Linked DNA regions of Tribolium castaneum. The protein of the gene in region 1 interacts with the protein of each later gene in a biochemical or structural test. Links are inferred from orthologs where the notes say so. Each region holds a gene or a part of one and is shown on either strand. Other genes may lie near its edges. The genes, in order: serine/threonine-protein kinase VRK1 and baf.

Evidence for each region.
Region 2: of the proteins of serine/threonine-protein kinase VRK1 (region 1) and baf, one has a biochemical effect on the other in vitro, tested with the Caenorhabditis elegans proteins (2 studies listed by BioGRID). The link is inferred for Tribolium castaneum from reciprocal best matches to the Caenorhabditis elegans genes vrk-1 and baf-1.

The regions. Positions count from the first base shown.
Region 1 is NC_087395.1:23,675,404-23,679,308, forward strand, and holds serine/threonine-protein kinase VRK1, read left to right. Parts: upstream 1-1,305; 5' UTR 1,306-1,465; coding exon 1,466-1,742; intron 1,743-1,792; coding exon 1,793-1,986; intron 1,987-2,031; coding exon 2,032-2,242; intron 2,243-2,285; coding exon 2,286-2,459; intron 2,460-2,509; coding exon 2,510-3,150; 3' UTR 3,151-3,201; downstream 3,202-3,905. Other genes in the region: syntenin-1, read right to left, coding at 1-587, 632-823. UniProt on the Caenorhabditis elegans protein: Serine/threonine kinase that phosphorylates baf-1, thus regulating the association of baf-1 with chromatin and nuclear membrane proteins during nuclear envelope formation. May act through the egl-17 signaling pathway.
Region 2 is NC_087402.1:5,990,829-5,993,343, forward strand, and holds baf (barrier-to-autointegration factor), read left to right. Parts: upstream 1-1,343; 5' UTR 1,344-1,432; coding exon 1,433-1,558; intron 1,559-1,611; coding exon 1,612-1,758; 3' UTR 1,759-1,877; downstream 1,878-2,515. Other genes in the region: Tpi (triosephosphate isomerase), read right to left, coding at 1,923-2,199, 2,248-2,515. UniProt on the Caenorhabditis elegans protein: DNA-binding protein which plays an essential role in nuclear envelope formation. Required for normal chromosome segregation during mitosis. Associates with the nuclear lamina via its interaction with LEM domain containing proteins emr-1 and lem-2.

The DNA.
Region 1 (3,905 bases):
TGGTCGTAAATAAAGCTCGGCACGACCGTGATCGTAACCACCTCCCCGGCCTCCTCGATCAACTTGCTGATCTGCTTGTCTTTCAACCCGACCACATTTTGCCCCTCAACTTCCAGCAGCTGGTGATCGGTCAAAACCCCATTTCGCGCCGCCGACGAATCCTTAATAATCGTGGTAATTTTCCCGTTCTTGAACTGAAAACCGACAGTTCCCGCACTGTCTTTATGCAAAGTTAGGGTGCGTTCAAAGGGCCTGTCCCTCACAACGACGTTAATCCCATTAACTGGGCTTTTCTTGAACATCTCATGGACCTTATCCATTGTAAAGCCGGCCACTGTGGCCCCGTTTATTTGCAAGATCTGGTCCCCAAACCGGAGCCCCGCGAGCGCCGCCGGCGAGTTATCAACAACCAGACAGACGAAAACCCCGTTGTTGATCGCTTTGACCCGCAGCCCCACTTTGCCGTCCTTGTCTTTGCAGAGGGTGAGCTGGCGCACGCCGTTGGTGACTTGCGCGCGGTGCAGCCCCAAAGACTGGCCCGACAGGGGGGCGATCATGCTGGTGGCCCCCACGGCGATCGGCGCCGACTGCAAAACACGGTCAGGGGGGTGGGGCTAAGGGGGGCACTCACCGATTGGGGCACCGCCACTTGCAGGTACTCTGGCATGTTCTCCTTGATCACGGCTTCGGTCAGCTCGAGCCCCATGAAGTCTCCCAGCGCCGGGTAAGCGCTGACCTGGGGGGCTGTCGCGGGGCTCTGGCCACTCAAAGCCCGCGACAGTTGGTCGATTTTCATGTCTTCGAGACTAGGGTACAGCGACATTTTCGCACAATTAATCACGAGTTCTAGAATTGAAACTTGATATCTGTTATCAGTGAATGACACAATTGACAATTGGGGGGTTATTTATAGTGACAGGGGCACTGACAATACATACCTGTACTGGTTTCTGGTAAAGTTAAGTTCAATTAACTGTTTTTCACACACTTGAGTGGTTTATTTATCATTGATGATTCATCACAGCTCAAAAAACTGTTCTAACACGAGTCAATTGTTGATTGTCAGTTTGACATTTCCGGAATGGTGTTTTGTTCAATTGGGCGACATCTGGCGGTCGCGACGATTTATAGTGATAAGACAATAATGATCAAATGCAACAAACGCATTCAAAGTCGAATTTATTCCCAATTATTGCGTTCTAATTGAATATTTTATTGACACTTAGGCAGCCAACAACGCCCGGCCTTTAGGGAATTTAGCCGTGGCGCTATTAAGTTGGTGCCTTCGTCCGCCATACCACCGTTTTTTTTTCGCGCGTTTTTCGTTATCTCTTCATAATTCGTTATCTCGGATTTAAAACCGCGTTTTTGTTGTTTAGTTTCGCTCTAAAGGAAGTGCAAAAAGTGTTGCGTGTGTGCGTGGCTCGTGTCGCTTCGTTTTTTGGCGTTTGATTCTAACCTCAAAATGTCGAAACCGGTGAAAAAACCTCGCAAAAAAGCAACAACCGGCTATAAAATGCCGGAGCCGCTGCCTGCAGGGGAAGTCCTGGTTGATGTGGGGAAGAACCAGTGGAGGTTGGGGCCGTCCATCGGCAAAGGGGGCTTTGGGGAGATTTACGCAGCTCAGGAGGCCTCCTCCAAGTCCCCCAAATACCCCTACGTTGTGAAGGTGGAGCCTCACGGCAACGGCCCCCTTTTCGTCGAGATGCACTTCTACATGAAAAACGCCAAACAGGCCGACAGTAAGTGTTTTCCCCCTTTTTTATATTTTTTGTGTTATTTGGGGTTGTAGTTGAGGCTTTTATGAAAAAGCACAAATTGAAAACGTTCGGAATGCCGGCGTATTTGGGGTCAGGGTCGCACGAAATGGGGGCTTCCAAATACCGGTTTATTGTCATGGAGAAATTCGGGGCTGATATTGACCAACTGAGGCGGGACAAGGGGGCCCTTTCGAGCACGTCCGTTTTTCAAATGGGGTGGCAAATTGTACGTTTTCACTTTTCGTAACAGGGTGGTAACAGTTATTCGTAGACCTACGTTCTGGAATATATTCATGACTTTGGGTACATCCATGGGGACATAAAAGGGGGCAATGTCCTTCTGGGGGTCAATAAAAGCCAGGTCTACCTCGTGGATTTTGGTCTCGCGACCAAGTTTAGCACAGAGCGGGAGTTTAAACCGAACCCCAAAAAAGCCCACGATGGCACCATTGAGTACACCAGCCGGGACGCCCATCATGGGGGTAACTATTTTTTCGCGTAGCTCCAATCTTATTTTCTTGCTAGTGCCCACCAGACGTGGCGATTTCGAAATTCTGGGCTTTAATTTAATTCATTGGTTGGGGGGCACCCTCCCCTGGGACTCGCACTTAAGCGACCCCAAAACCGTCCAACAGTTGAAGGAAGACAATTTAAAAGACGTCCCAAAGTTTATTAAAACGTGCCTGGGCAAGAAATCCGGTTAGTGTGTAATTGTGTTGTTTGGTTTGTTTTGTTTTATGTTTTTTTAGAAACTTTAATCAAATATTTCCAATACGTTAATAGTTTAAAGTTTGATGAGGTGCCTGATTATAAGAAAATTCGGTCGTTGTTTGAGGACGAAATTCGCAAGAATGGCAAAACTGTGGACAGTCCTTTTGACTTCCTTGGGACAGTGAAAAAAAGAAGAAGTTTATGTGGGGATAGATTGGATGATGGAGATGATGAAAATGTCACACCTGTGAAGAAACTGGCGAAAAAAAAGGAGAAGAAACAGAAGGAAGTGATAGAAAATAAGACTGAAGAGGTGATGACACCCGCCATGAAAGAAATCTTAGCCAAGAAGGAGAAAAATGCGCTCAAAAAAAAGAAAACCAAAACTAGTGATGATAAAAATGGTGAGGTTGACAACGCCGGAATGATGGAAATAAGAAAGAAAAAAGACAAAGCTAGTGAAGAGACAAATGGTCATCTTGGGGCACGAAAGAAGAAAACGAAAGCCAGTAGTGATGATAGCGATGGCGAAGTATACAATGCCGAAATGCTCGAAATAAAACAGAAGATTAACAAAGGAAGAAGTGAAGAAGTGAGAGAGAACGGAAGACCTAGGCGCCATCTCCCGGCTTGTAATTACGACGAGCGAACTCCCAGACAACCGAGGAAGAAGACTTAGTACCTTTACTGTTTTTTACGAATTAATAAAAATAAAGATTTTAAAAGTAAACTTTGGTCCATTATTTGTAACCATAATCATTTTTTTAATATCGTATACAATTTTATTTAACCTCATGGAAATTGCAATGTGACATGACCAATCAGAGTGCGGTAGCACGACCACGTGACGACTGGTGACCAACGGGAAGCACTTATTTGAGCATTTGACAGCAGTCTAACATTTTGAAAAAACACTTATTTTTTGTTATCAAATAGCGAATACTCATTGTTATTCACTTACGAAATGATTTTCAAGTCGTGCAAAAAACTTATGAATAAAACGTCTGTTCTTCAGAGAATGCAAAAAATCGTCCACGTCCTTGCAAACATCAAACAAAGTGGTTATTAGATATTGAAGAATTGGCTTCATAATTACCCTCCTCAAGCTATAATTATTACCGTTGCACTTTCCTTTGACTCGAAATTAAAAAGTTTTAATAGCACATAGCCTGTTTTCAAGAATGATTGTTCAAGACGACTATGGACACACTGTGGATTAAAATTCAATAAGCTGCTTTGTCGAATTGAATAGCTTTTTGCTTATTTTTTGCATTTCCGTGATTTCTGTTGTGTATTTTTCGTTTTTAGTTCGAAGACTTTTTGCATTATTTTGACAGATCTGTCACCGTCACATTTCATAAAAAAATTGACGAACAATCATTTCTGAACAGTGTGTATATTTAATCAGTAAAGCACAGCATTCAAATAGTTGTT
Region 2 (2,515 bases), on another chromosome or scaffold:
TAAAAATTATTTATTTATAATTTTGACACTGATACTGATTCCGATCGTGCAAAAAACGTTATAAGCATGTCGAACAGTAACAAACCCTTACCGTTCTCTATACTTAATATACTATAAGAACAATTTCTATAACGGAAAAAAAATTGATTTTACAGTAAATCCGTTTTTTAAACGAGTAGGCCGATGTGTCAGCGACCATCGACCGTCTTCTGTTTAATAAAAACGCTCAAAACTCAAAATGCGTTATTCGTTATTAAATTTTTAGGCGCTGCACGATTGAGCGTATTCAGCGTATTACGTGCGTGCTTACCCTTAAAAAATAAACTTAATTTGGACATAATAATTGTTCTGTACACTAGTGCGTAGCATGCAAAACGAATTTCATTTTTTTAATTAATAAGAAAATTAGCATAGACAATATAATGTATTCAATCCGAAAACGACTGAAAATCCATTATAGACGTTTTGGTAAGATATTCGCGTTCAATCCTTCTCTGTATCGTTCCAATTTTAGTATATGTACCGCCGAAGCGAGTAATAGACTTAATCCTTACAAAGAATCTCTTATTGGAAAACGACCCTCAGTCTCTTTCACAACTAAGTTCCGACCATAATCCGGTAATTTTCGAAATTTGAATAATTAATTATAATTATAATTATAATTATTAATTATAAATTATTCAAGTAATTGTTGGTACTAATCAGTATTGCCAACTCATTCCCCTAAATTTTTACTACGTGTTTACTATGATAGTAAAATCTATTACGTACCCTTAAAATTGTTGTATTATTATTATTACAAAGTGTGTTATAAGTGTTTAATTACATTACTAGAACAAAGAAAATGAACCCTGTTGCGTTTAAAACAATTTCCAGTACAAATATGGTAAAATTCAGTCCATCTTAAATTTGATCACAATTTTGATGGTCGAAGCTGTTTTATATTTTTTATATTAAAAACCATTAGAAATGAGTTAAATAACGACACTGATTCATATTTTCAAAAAAACCTTTATTGTTTCAGCCATAAAAATATTTTTATCGTTACAGCAAATGTAACTAATATCATTCAATAATATGCACGTCCAAGGTCAACAAGCCTCACAGCGCGCGGGAAAAGAGTGTCAGATCTGGTGCTAACTTCTCTAATCTGTGATCCTGCCAACAAAAAATTATCGACTGTGCGTTGAACCGAAAATTCGCTTAAAAATCAACGAATAAATTTAAAAAATTAGCAGAATTTCAATAACTATTCAAAGATTTAATTGTTTGTGGTTTTCTCATTAATTAATTATTAGTAAACAATTAATAAGTGCTTTTTCGAGATGATGATCCGTCCGAATTTTTGATTCGGTGGCAAAGCTCCCGCCAACGCGTTCTGTCATTTAGTACGTCCTTTTGCTAGTCAAAAGTTTATTTCTTTATTAAAAAAATGTCGAGTACATCCCAAAAACATCGCAATTTTATTGCTGAGCCCATGGGGGACAAGCCCGTGACTGAATTAGCAGGTGTGGGTGAAGTTTTAGGTAAACGTCTTTCGTCTGCCGGATTTGACAAGGTGAGGTTATGTTTTTACATTGCGCTTTTTTGCATAACATTTTCCTGTTTTAGGCGTATGTGGTGTTGGGCCAGTTTTTGATATTGAAGAAAAACCAAGAGCTTTTCCAAGAATGGATGAAAGACACTTGCCAGGCGAATTCAAAACAATCGGCTGATTGTTGGCAGTGTTTGAAAGACTGGTGTGAGGAGTTTTTGTAAAGTGGCTTGTATAGTTTGATGCTAAACACGTTTTATTAAAATAAGATAATACTTTACTAATGTAAATATTTTTATAAGTGAAATAATTTAGTTTAGCACAAAAATTATATTAAAAACGGCTCAAGTCTTTTATTACTCCCTTACACGAATAATTAATTACAAAATTATTGCTTTGCGTTTACAATGTTCACGAATTCGGGTTTGAGGGACGCACCCCCTACTAAAAATCCGTCAATATCAGGTTGGGCAGCCAATTCTTTGCAGTTGGCCCCAGTTACGGAGCCCCCGTATTGAATTCTGATACTATTTCCAACGTCCGCGTTAACGTTTGTGCAAAACCATTGTCTCAAAGCCTTGTGCACTTCTTGTGCTTGCTGAGGAGTGGCAGTTTTTCCCGTACCTATGGCCCACACCGGCTCATAAGCAACGACAACATTTGACCTAAAAAAATTCATTACGAACTGGGCTTTTCCCCACAATATGAATCACCAGTCTTTTATTTTCCCAGCAATAGCCTTAGTCTGTCTGAAGACAACCTCCTCAGTCTTGCCCCCTTCCCGTTCCTCCAAAGTCTCCCCAATGCAGGCGATAACTTTCAGGCCAGCCTCCAAGGCATGAGCCACTTTTTCGGCGATAAGTTCGTCAGTTTCGCCAAAAATCTGGCGACGCTCTGAGTGCCCCAGAATCACCCAATTCACGCCAATGTCTTTGATCATCGCGGGGGAAATCTCGCCGGTGAAGGCGCCTTTAGGAACTT